3 linked regions of the Ovis aries genome follow. The protein of the gene in region 2 purifies or fractionates together with the protein of the main gene of each other region. This does not show direct contact. Links are inferred from orthologs where the notes say so. Each region holds a gene or a part of one and is shown on either strand. Other genes may lie near its edges.

Region 1 (4,127 bases), on a different chromosome or scaffold from region 2:
CAAGAGTGCAACAGTATTGTCCCTAGGTTTTCCTTCCAAGCTGCTGACATCTATTCTGCAAATTTGGTGCAGGGTAAACAATGACAAATACCACTCAACTCTCATCTGCCAAACCTGATTTTAAGGCACAATGATGGTAAGATGTGTCCTGATTCCGAAATACTAAAATGGGGGGAGGGCAGAGAATATGTGCATCTTAGAATTGATGAAATACGGCATATTACCAGGATCAAAGACCAAGCCCTGGGGACTCTGACGGGTCTAGGTAGATGTGAGGACAGAGAGCCAGTAAAAGAAGCTGAAGGAGCTGGCAGTGTGATAGGCAGCCAGCCAGGAGAGTGTGTGTCTCAGAGATGAGTTTGAAAAAGAAGTGACTGGCCAGTGTTGTCATGAGGGCTGATAGGCTGATAAAGACAGGGAGATCTCGAAATCTGTTGAAATGGAGATCGTGGTGTCTTTGTTAGATGTTTCAATGAACTGATGAGAACAAAATCGCCATTAAACTGGGCAGAGAGACACTTGGAAATAAATCAGCAGGGATAGTAAGTATAAACAAGAATATGTGCTCTGAAAGGGTGAAAAGAAAGAGGGTGATAAAGGCAGAAAGGGCTTAAGGAAGGGCTCTGATATTTTTTAAAGAGGATATTAAGCCATGTTTGCAGATGAATTTGCATGATTCAATAGCGAAGGAGAACTGAATGGTACAGGAGAGGAAGTTGCAGGAGAGAAGTTCTTCAGAGGAGGACAAGAGCTTAGGGGTAGGAAGCAGGGAAGAAGAGGTGGAGATCAATTAAGTTGGTGGCAGGAAGGTGGGGGAACTTTTGTCAGACCCAAATATTCAGGCCAAAGATCTGCCAGGTTCTTGGAGTTAATATTTCTCTCACTAAAGTGGGCAGCCCAAGAGGAGTGTGCACTGCTCTTACCTTCGGCTACCCACCAACCCCTGAGTCTGTACGTGAGGGCAAAGGGTTATTAACCACGAGGTTAAAGGTCAGCGAGGTAACAGGACGCATGACCTCCATCTAGACCACCTCTGGGCTTGCCAGTTCTCACCAACCTCTCACCTTCTCATTTATGGACCCGGTCAGATCCTCTCGCTTCTACCTTCTCACTAAAAGGATGAGGCAAAACTGGAGCAGAAGCCTCGGGGCGCGCGCCCGCCTCCATTGCGCCTGCGCATTCGTCCCCGGATTGCCAGGCCGGGGAGAACTGGCCAGAAGCTCATTCTCCGTCGCTCGCTCTCGGGCGCACGCGCCCCGGTGGCGCCTGCGCAGAAAGACAAGGAAATTGGTTCCCTCTGCGGTCCCAGCGCCTGCGCGCTGCGGGCTCCGGGCCTCCCGGCCTGAGGGAGAGAAGCCGGGAAGATGGCGGCCGTGGTGGAAAATGTAGTGAAGCTGTGAGTGGCCGTTTCTTTCTCTTCTAGCCTGGGAGGTCTTGTAAGGGACCTGGAAGCAGGGGGCGGTGTGGGAACGGACGAGGCGGAGAGAGGGACGTGCCCAGAGAGGCCGTGTTGCGACTCCTAGAGGGGAGGGCAACAGGAGACTCGGGAAAGACGTTGCGCTTCTTTGGAAACTTGTGGAGGCCCTGAGGGGGGCACACGGGAGCCCGTGACGGGCAGCCTCCCTGTGGGGCTGGGCGCTCCCTCAGGCGGAAGGTTTCCAGAGTATGGCGCCCTTGTTGCGTACGGCACACGGTCCGGGCTTCGCCTCCGTCCGGGAGAGCGGGGCCGACCCCCGCGAAGCCTGGCCGCCGGCCCCTCCCCGTCGGCTGCCCGCAGCGGGCCCCGGAGGAGCAGGCTCGGCCGCCCTGGCGCCGTTAAGCGCTCAGGGCTGTTTTGTTCTGAACAGCCCCGTGACGTTCCTGGGCGGGCGGGGGCGGGGGTGGGGTGGTCCTTGAGTATCAGGTACCCGAGACCAAAAATATTCCTGGGGAGAATTTGTGGAAGAGCAAGATCCAGAGGGAAAGAACTTCAGGGAAGAGGGGCTTGGCGCCGGCCAGTCCCAGCCATCGGAAAGTGGGCACTGGACGGACGCAGTCCAGGACGCCCTGGCCGCCCCGAGGGGCATCTGGGTCGACCTTCTTCGCTCTGCAATACTCTTGGACTGGGCAGATTTCAAGCAAAGTTAAAGTTCATGGTTGTTTGGCAGACTGAGAATGGCCTGTTAGCTGTGAGTTAAAGATGCTTTGGGACTTGATTTAATCCAGCCTCCTCCCCGAAGAAGAATCTCAATGAGTTTTCCAATGGGTTCTTGCACCCCCACCCCCGTCGGCCAATACAGCAAGCTCTTTAATGGACACATTTGGCTTGGTGCAGGGGTAGGAAAAATGAGGTGACCAGTTGTGCAGCTTGGCTTTTGGATTTTGACTGGGTGAGAAGGTAAAGGTTTGGGAACTCTTCTAAGGGGCACATAGCTTCTCAACTGTCTTTGTAGTAGGCTGAGCCCCACTCTTCCCAAGAGCCTTTTTTCTAAGAGTACATTGCTTCTCTCCCTCCCCCTGCCTGGAGCCTTTTCTTTGAGAATGCTTTCCCACTTCCATTAAGCTAAGTGCCTTCTCCTTGTGGGTTTTTTTTTTTTTCCTAACGTGCTTTCAGCTCCATCCTGCTGCCTATTTCAGCCACCCCTACTCCCAGCACTATTTATTATCTTCCTCTCTGATCTACCCACTTCAGTTTCCCCAGCACTCTCTCCAAGCTGACATTTCCCTCAATTTAGAAATGACGCTGCTGATCTACCATTTATATGTTATCCATACTGACTCAGATGTTCTTTCTTTGTTTCCCTGTCTTTCTCTTTGTTGACTGCCCCTGTCCCATTGTAAAGGGAGGTTTTACACAGGTTTCATGCCTCTCAAAAAAGAATCAAAGCTTCTACCTTGGAAAGCTTACTGTAATGGGGGAATGTCAAAACTTGCCTAGGTTTAAGAGTTTTATGTAGTGAGATTGTTTATGTTGGAAGACTTTCATCTGAGAAATAAGGTCACCAACCCTTTCATGCAGTATTGGAAGTGAGGGGTTGCCCGTTTAAATAGAGCTTGACTTCTTATTTCTCTTTAAAGATCTGTAGAGATAGTGAAGGTCACCAACTGCTGATTCCTGAGTACCAGTAATAAATAACCAACTTTCTACTCCTCAGTTCTAGCTGTAAAGAGCTGTGGACCACAGTTAATACATTTTCGTACAGAACCTGCTCTTTAAAAAGAGACTTCCAGTCTTCCTGTACCATTCTCATCCTGTAAAGAGACGCTTTTCTTGACCACGGTGTGCCTAGTCTTCTGACTGCTGAGGTTTTACATTGAGGTCAGGACTACTAGCTCATCTTTTCTGACTTGCATCTTGTTCTGGGAGAAGAATTTTCCTGTTTGTAAATTCTCCATCCCTCCCAAACGTGGTGTCAGAATTGAAACAATCTTTAAGAGGTCTTACAGGGCAAAATAATAGTATAAAAGAGCTGTGGTTGCTGAAATCCTCTGAGTTAGGTAACAAGATCTGGAGAATGTTAGCTTAAAATTTCTTGTAGGAGCCTTAGATTCTTAAGAGAGCTCTCTCATTCTTTTTTGCTCTATCCTCATCAGATCCTCTCTTCCTCCAACTTGTATTTCGTTATCAGCTCTCACTCACAATGCAGTTTGCCCCACCTTCTGAAATCCCATTTAACTCACCGGAGCTTTGATAGAACATCTCTCGTCATATCTCAACCCCACCCCCGACAGTTTCCAGCCTCCTTGCTCTGACTTTGCAGTTCTCAGCCTGTCTAGCCCTTCTTTCCATCTGACTTACAGTGTCAGTATCAATTTCCATCAGCAGAAACAAAGGCGCTGCCGCACTCAGCCTTGTTTATCCAATTTTCCTCTGTTTAGTGAGGACATGGCTGCCTCCTAAAGGCGAGCAAATATGAGCCTATTCCTTCTCTTTATTCTCCAGCACAGGCTTCATGCCTACCTCAAATTACAGTCATTACAGCACATTGAATCAAGCCAGACTATCTTGTGATGTCACTGCCTGCGTGCAGTGTATGTCTTTGTTGGTTGCTGGGAACGTTCTAAGCTGTGCCTCAGTGGCTGCCCCATGAAAGCCCCTCTTCGATTCCAGAGCAGGGTTTGTTGCTGCAGCTTGAGTTACGAACATA
Region 2 (4,144 bases):
AAGGTCACAGCCAATTTCAGCTCTGGAATAAAAGGCAGATAGTGGCAGCGATGGTTTGGGTTATCACTGGCAGAAAAGCAGAGTGTAAAAGTTTATGAGCTCATCAGGATTGTTGTACCATTACATCAGAGGCAATTATAAATGGCCAAGAGCAGGAGATGGGGAGCCAATCAGATCACAGATAGGATGTCAACCTAAGACCAACTGTCTCCTGGCTTTGACAGAAGGATTTTACCTCCATAATTCAAATCCCAAACCAAAGCAATCTGCACTTACTACTCCAATCACTCAGCTGTTTACCAGCACTTCCAGGGAGAAGCCCAGGCCACTGGGCCGACGGAGACTAAGACAGGAGACGACCTGGGCTGCCCAGGGTGAACCGAAGCCGGGCTCTAGCTGCTCCCAAGCAGGCCCCTGCCCTCCCTCGAGGTCCCCCCGAGCCCGAGGGGCCCCCTCCTTGAAAGCACAGATGGGGACCGGCCTAGAGGAAGGTAGGGAGGGCAGAGAGGAGCGGCAGGTGAGCAAAGAACTGTTCACTCAACTCCCGACCTCCGAGGGCTGCCTACACCCCTAACCTGAGCCCCCAACACCCCCTCACCCCGGGCCGGGCCCTTTTCCCGCACACCCGGCTCCGCACCCCTCTGAAGACCCCCCGGAGCTGGAAGGGACCCGGGGAGGAGGAGGAGGGGAGCAGACACCTCAAGGAAAGCCCCACACAAAGGCTGAAGGAGGGAAAGAGAGGAAGGCAGACGGGCAGCCATTTTAAGAGAGAAAGAGCGAGACAATGGCAGCTCCCCAGCAGTGGGGGCCCCAGACTGGGGGTAGCCCACGGCCGTGGCCCGCTCCCCGCCGCCGCCATCCACTCCCAGGACCCCCCCGCCCCACTCGCCACAGCCCCCCCTACCCCACCAGCCGTGTTACCTGCGGGGTCCGGGCGAGCGGCTGCCCCCCGCCGCCGCTGCTCCCAGGGCTCATGGGCGCGTGGTGGCTCCTTTGTTGGGCCCCTCCCGAGGCGGCCGCGGCCGCCGCCGCCGCAGCAGCAGCAGCCCCCCAGCACTGAGAGGCCATGTCCGCCGGGCCCTTGCCGGCGCCCCCGTCCTGGGGCCCGCCGCCGTAGTCGCCCCCGGGGTAGCCCTGGTAGCCCCGGGCCGAGCTGGGCGACGTGAGCAGTTGGTTGAGGGTGGGGGTGGCGGTGGGCTGGGGGGTTCCCCCTGCGGCCGCTGAGGGGCCGCCTCCCCCCATGGCCCCGAAGCGCTGCTGAGCGAAGGACGAAGACGACGAGGAGGCGGAGGCGCTGGAGGAGGGAGGCGGCTTGGAGCCGGCGGCCGCCGCCGCCGCCGCGCCGGAGCCCGGAGTGCCACCTCTCGGGGAGCTCAGCGCGTAGGCCTGGGGGGGCGGGGGGTAGGCGCTGCGGTTGGGGTAGTAGGAGTTGTACTGGTGGTTGGGGAAGCCGTGGTCGTGCGAGTTCTGCTGGGGCCCCGCGTAGGGCTCCAGGCCCCCGCCGCCGCCGCCGCTCTGCAGCGCTGCCAGGCCAGGGCTTTGTTGTCCGCCATGTTGTTGGTGGAAGACGGCGGCCGCGGCGGCGGCGACGGCAGACGGGCTCCGGCCGTAGGGTTGCCCGAAGCCGTAGGCTGGGGGCGGCAAGGCGGCCGCGGCTGAGTGAGGAGGCGCCCCCACCCCGTCGCTGCTGCCGCCGCCACCGCCGCCGGGCGGCTCCGTGAGGTTATTGTTCAGGGCGGGCCTAGGGCCCGCGTTCCCGTTCGAGTTCTTCAGGTCCGGCTCCGCGCCGGGCCCGCCGGCTCCGCCGCCGCCGCCACCCCCATTGCTCTCGGCCCCGTCCTGCAGCTCCTTTCCCAGTGGCTGCGGCGGCCCCACGGCGGGGCCCTCGCTTTCCTGCCCGGCGGCTGCCTTCATTTCCCCGCGCTCCGCCGCGACCGCCGCCGCCGCCTCGCCCCCCGCCTCCTCCCGCTGCTGCTGCTGCTGCTGCTCCGCTTTCTTCAGCTCCGAGGGCGGCGGCGGCGGATTGCCCAGGCTGCTGGCGGCGGCGGGGGCGACCTGCGCGGCCATGATCCCCGCTGTCTCGTCCGCGGAGAGACCCGGCCCTGTCTTCGTCTTCTCTCACCCCCCTCCCACCCCACCCCGCCCCGGGGCCGAGTCCCCCCGGGCTTCCCTCCCCACCCGCCCGGGCGGGCCTCGCGGGGCTCCGCGGCTTTTGCGCTGCGCTCGCTCGCTCGCTCGCTCGCTCGCTCCTCTCCCCCCCGCCCCGCCGGCTCAGGCTCCGGGCTGGCGGCGGCGGCGGAGGAGGAGGAGGCGGCGGCGGCGGCCGAGGCGCCGGCGGCTCAGCTGCTCCCGGCTCTGTAAGCTCGGGACCCGGCTCTCCCGGCTCATTCCCCCCCAAGCCCTTGCCTGGGAATGAGGGGGGCGGTGGAGGCTCCGCTCCCCAGGGCCTGGCCCCGCTGTGACTCTCCGCTTTCTGCTGCCGGAGAAAGGAGGGAGGGAGGGAGGGGAGGGAGGGAGGCGAGGGGGAGGGGGCGGGGAGGGAGGGAGGGAGCGGGGGGAGGGGGACCCGGGACGGGCGGGCTGGAGGGCGCGCGGCAGCAGCCCGGGCGCCGGCAGGCAGAGTCGGAGCGTGGGCCGGGCCGGGCGCCCTGCCTCCCCTCCCCGGCCGCGGCGCCGGGCCGAGGCTGCTGCGCGGCGGCGAGCGGGCGAGCGGGCGGGCGGCCGGACTGAGCGGCTAGAGCGCCCCACTCTCCTCCGAGTCCCCCTCACTCCGACACGAGGCTCAGCACTGCCATTTTACCCAGCGCCGTCGCGGCCGCCTGGCAAACCCGGAACGGAGCGCGGAGCGGGGCGCAGGCCGTGGAACGGACTCGCTCCCTTCCCCTCACAAAGGAGGAGGGGAGAGAACCAGCCGCGGCGGCGGCGGCGGCGGCGGCAAGCGCTCTGCCGCTCTCGCTCGGCAGCGCCGCCGCCGAAGGCTTCGGGGAAAACCCGGCCCGGAGCTCGCGCCTCTCCGGAGCCTGCGCGCCGCCTCCCTCCTGGCCTCCCTATCCAGGTCGGTCCCCTTCGCGCCGCGGGCAGCGTGAACTTTACTCGCGGCTGCAAAATTGGCCTGAGCCCGAGACCGCGGCCGCCTCGGCCCAGGCCTGACCCCCCCTGGCAGCGGGCCTGGTCTCTTGGCCGCTACTTAGCATCTCCGCGGCACTTTTCCTTCTTCAAAGCCTTTTGCAGACCTGCTCCAAAGACCCAGCTGAGCTTTACGTTGTATCCTCTTTGCAAGCTGCATGGAATGACAGATCATTGTTTCAGACTTTCCGTTTTCCCACTCTCTGCCCTCATTAGCCGGTCCTCACAGGCCCTGGGGGCACGAAGTTCCTGATCCCCATTTTACAGACTCATAAGATAGCGAAGGGGACCGGCCTATCACTTAGTCTATCACTTACAAAGACAAGGGCAGTGGAGGGTGACTTTAAAAAGTAGCAGAGTCCCCAGTGCTGCCCCTGTCTACTTAGCGTTAGAAATAATAGTAATAAAAAGAAAAGTGGTGCCATATACAACAGTGGGATCAGAACATCAGAATGGGTTTGAGATTCAAGCTGGTCATCTCAACCGATATAAAATGGTCACCCCTGAAGATATTTTGGGGACATATGACCGCCTTCTTGGAGGAAGACACAAGCCCCACCTTTGCCCACAATGACCAAGGTCCCGTCTCCAAAGACAGTACCTGTAAGACTGTAACAGACCACAGAAGAGACTCCAGGGACTGGTGGAACCTGAGTGTTCAAAGGAACCTCTGCCGAAGAGGGATGACCAAGTAGAGGGAACCGTTTTCTCCTTAAAAAGAGAGAAAAGGTGCAGTCTAACACCTCACTCAGAAAACAGATGCAGCCTAAATTTGTTTTTCTATCCTTCATTGTAAGGAATCATTAAAGTTTACTGTTACATTCTAAGAGATGCTGAATGGGAGATGCTGAGTGAACTGGAGGTATACACAGAAAATTCTAGATTCACAGGCTCCACCACATCTCAGCAGCAGCCTTGTCCTCTGACTGACTTAGAATGCTCTGACATGACAGGCTACACAGGCCAGAAGGGATACCGGCTTCTCACGAAGCCCAGGGCTGCCTTGAGAGATGCTAGG
Region 3 (3,422 bases), on a different chromosome or scaffold from region 2:
GGGGCCGGGCTCTCAGCTGTGGCCACCCTGAGTTTTTTTTTTCTAGCATCTCTAGCTGTGTAGCTCTGGCTCATTAAGGCAGAGAAGCAGGCTGTCTTTGCCTCTCCGCAGCTCAGAGGAGCCTCCTCCTGATGAGGAGACTTGTGGCAGGACTCCAGAGGCCCCCCATCCTCCCAAACGCTTCCTTCCCACCCCCCTCCTTCTCCCCTCCCCCTGTCTTTGGGTCGTGTTTCTCCTCTTTTCCTGTGTCTGCCTCTGGTCAAGAATCTGACCGTCCTTGGTGAGAACGTGGGATGAGTGCGGGATGAAGAGTTGGAGTAGGAATCTCATCTCTGTGATGCTGGTAGGGAAGGGGGTTGGGGGGGGGGGGGGGTCCTTTGATTTGGTGTGAATCCCCACCCAGCCTGGCTTGGTTGGCTGGTTGTGCTGGTTGCATAATCTGGGCCCTGGGGCCAGCCCTGTGAAGCTGCCAGGGACAGTGTGTGCAAGGCAGAGCTGCCAAACAGGCCTTGCAGGCAGCAGCAGCCACAAGAAAGGGGGTGGGGGCTCCTCCCCAGTGGGTTCCACAGTAATGTTGGGGAGCCGGACCTCAGTGGGAAATCCCTTCTGCAGGTTTTGAAAGAAGCCACCTCCTACCCAGCTTCCTCTGCTGATCCTAAGACTTTGATCCTTGCATCCCAGGCTAATCTTATCTCCATTCTCCAGCTTGGCATTGCCAAGCAGCCCCAGCCACCAGGTGGCGTGTGGACCGCAGGCAGAGGCCAGGTGCCAGCTGCTCTCCCTTCCGCAGACCACTGGGGAGCCACAGCTTCCCTTTGGAGTCTTCAGGCCTAGAGGTTGGGGGCTGGGCAGCAGAGAGGTGAGAGAAGGGTCCAGTTCTGGGTGGTGAGTAGGGGCCATATGGCGACCAGATGGCCTGTGTACTCTGCCTGAGGCCGCCCCCACCCGTCGGGACAGGCTCCAAGCCATCCTGTTGCAGCTTGCTCACCTGCGGTGCCGCTGCCGATGGGCCTGCCAGCCCTTTGGACTGCCGTTCCCTGCTCAGTCACACCACCAGGCCGGTGACTGGGGACGGGCACTGGGGCTGTGCCCCGTCAGCCTGCTCGCATCACAGCCACAGTCCGCCGCCTGGCTACGACACTGCCCCTGGCTTCTGCCTCAAGCTGGGGGAGGAGAGGATGGAGTGCTCGGTGGGACCATCTGAGAGCCTTGAGGCCGGCTGGTCCAGGGAGCCGGGCAGAGTGTTGCTGGGGCCAGAAGGTGGTTGCAAGTGGCAATAGGCCCTGAAAAACTCCCCCAGGCCCTTCTCCCTGCAGGCAGGGTTCTCCTCCCACCCCTTGGGCTCTGCGGGCCTCATTCGCTGGCACGGCTGCCAGGGCGGTTGAAGGGGGCGGGGCAGGTGTGGTTTACACTTCTGCTCTCAGGCGCTTGCTCCCCTTTGTTCCTGGCACTCCTGCCTGGGCTCGGCGGCCCCGTGGTGTGCTGCTCAGGACTGGACCCAGGCGAGGAGAGGGATGGAAGGAATGGGTTACGGGCCCCGTTGGGCCCCACCCCTGACCTATGCACCCCCATTGGCTCACTTCCCCCAGCGGCCTGGCATGTCCCCAGGGAGCCGGATGCCCATGGCTGGCTTGCAGGTGGGACCCCCTGCCGGCTCCCCCTTTGGCACAGCTGCTCCACTTCGACCTGGCATGCCACCCACCATGATGGACCCATTCCGAAAACGCCTGCTTGTGCCTCAGGCCCAGCCCCCGATGCCTGCCCAGCGCCGGGGGTAAGACCTTCCTGTTTCTTCTACCCCATCTAGCGTAGCTCTGGCAGTAACACGGTTTCCGTGTGTCCTAAGAGCTGCGATGACTGAGGAAGACTCCTGGTTGTCTTGGGAAGGTCCTGGGGACTGGAGAGGTGGGGAGGCGGGGAGGTCCTTTGGACCATTGACTTCTTCGTTGGGTTTCTGTCCTCTTAGGTTAAAGAGGAGGAAGATGGCAGATAAAGTTCTACCTCAGCGAGTGAGTATGTTGGGAGAGGGCCTAAGAGGCCCACCCAAGGGCTGGTTGGCTGAGGGTGGACTCAGTCTCCCCTCACCTTGGGGTGAGGGAGGAAGTGAGGAAGGAGCCAGAGCTGCAGCTGAAATGAGCTGATGGATCCTTGCTCCCTCCACACTTCCAGATTCGGGAGCTTGTCCCAGAGTCTCAGGCGTACATGGACCTCTTGGCTTTTGAACGGAAGCTGGACCAGACCATTGCTCGAAAGCGGATGGAAATCCAGGAGGCCATCAAAAAGCCTCTGACGGTGTGTGCAGCCCCAGCCGCTCCTGGGCCTCGCCAAGCTTCTCTGCCCCTCCCTGGGCTTGTTTTCCAGGGGCCAAGTGGGCGTCTCTGATGGGCTAGAGCAGGATGTTTTACACTATAGGATACAGCCCATTTAGCATGAATTTGCTTTGATGTGGTGAGGCCAGCCTGTTTTTAATGGAACATTAGGGTTGTAGAAATGATCATTCTTCACAGTAGCAAAGGAATTACGACATTTTTGATTCATATATTTGCATATATGTGCAGATCCTGGATCATAATTTAAAACAATATTATACATCATGGTCAGAAGTTTGAAAGGCAAAGCTGGAGGGTAGATGAGGATAGTTCCTGTCTTCTTCCCCGTCCCTAGAGAAATTTTATCTAGAGAACAGTTCCTTGAATGGTGGAGGCTTTCCGGGAGACGATGTTCTGTAGCCACGATGAGTGTTTGGGTTTCACTTAAACTATGAGCCAGCAACTTCTGATAGCACCCTCAGTGGATCTGTCACACCACCGATGCCCCTGTATTGGACCTTTTGGTACTGCATGTTTCCCCATAAAGTTGTGAGTCCCTTGAAGGTGAGGGATGAGATTTCCTCGCCCAGTTCCCAGGGCCTCACTAGGGGCCTGACCCATAGCACTCTCTGTATGGGTGTGAAATGAGTTCAGACGGGAGGATTGGGTAGCAGCTGGTCCCTGTCTAGTTAACCTGTTGTCTTTCTTTAGCAAAAACGAAAGCTGCGGATCTATATTTCCAATACATTCAGTCCCAGCAAGGCAGAAGGTGACAGTGCAGGAACCACAGGGACCCCTGGAGGAACCCCCGCAGGGGACAAGGTGGCTTCCTGGGAACTCCGAGTAGAGGGAAAACTGCTGGATGATGTGAGTTGGGGAAGGAGGTGTCTGGAGGGGCAGTGGTCTATGTGGGTTTCAGACTTGGGCCAGACACTTGGGCACTTCCGGGGTCATCCTGCTGGAGGGAGAGGGCACAGCACCCAGTCCAGAGGTGGGAGGTTTGTGTGGTTGTTACAGTGCTTTTCCTGCAGATGGCGATAGAGTGTCCTGAGGAAGGGGTGCCCTTGCTAATTCCGGTCCTTTACTGGCTGACAGCGGGGCTGCCTAGGGACC

The links.
Region 1: the proteins of ARID1A (region 2) and DPF2 purify together in Homo sapiens (affinity purification with mass spectrometry; 6 studies listed by BioGRID and IntAct, counting the BioPlex papers as one, with this or other methods). This does not show direct contact. The link is inferred for Ovis aries from reciprocal best matches to the Homo sapiens genes ARID1A and DPF2.
Region 3: the proteins of ARID1A (region 2) and SMARCD2 purify together in Homo sapiens (affinity purification with mass spectrometry; 7 studies listed by BioGRID and IntAct, with this or other methods). This does not show direct contact. The link is inferred for Ovis aries from reciprocal best matches to the Homo sapiens genes ARID1A and SMARCD2.

Annotation. Positions count from the first base shown.
Region 1 is NC_056074.1:39,982,863-39,986,989, forward strand, and holds the start of DPF2 (zinc finger protein ubi-d4), read left to right. Parts: upstream 1-1,321; 5' UTR 1,322-1,364; coding exon 1,365-1,396; intron 1,397-4,127. UniProt on the Homo sapiens protein: Plays an active role in transcriptional regulation by binding modified histones H3 and H4. Is a negative regulator of myeloid differentiation of hematopoietic progenitor cells. Might also have a role in the development and maturation of lymphoid cells.
Region 2 is NC_056055.1:240,201,243-240,205,386, forward strand, and holds the start of ARID1A (AT-rich interactive domain-containing protein 1A), read right to left. Parts: upstream 2,831-4,144; 5' UTR 2,068-2,830; coding exon 922-2,067; intron 1-921. UniProt on the Homo sapiens protein: Involved in transcriptional activation and repression of select genes by chromatin remodeling (alteration of DNA-nucleosome topology).
Region 3 is NC_056064.1:47,811,065-47,814,486, reverse strand, and holds part of SMARCD2 (SWI/SNF-related matrix-associated actin-dependent regulator of chromatin subfamily D member 2), read left to right. Parts: intron 1-988; exon of another isoform or gene 989-1,312; intron 1,313-1,589; coding exon 1,590-1,774; intron 1,775-1,966; coding exon 1,967-2,009; intron 2,010-2,169; coding exon 2,170-2,292; intron 2,293-3,020; coding exon 3,021-3,176; intron 3,177-3,422. UniProt on the Homo sapiens protein: Involved in transcriptional activation and repression of select genes by chromatin remodeling (alteration of DNA-nucleosome topology).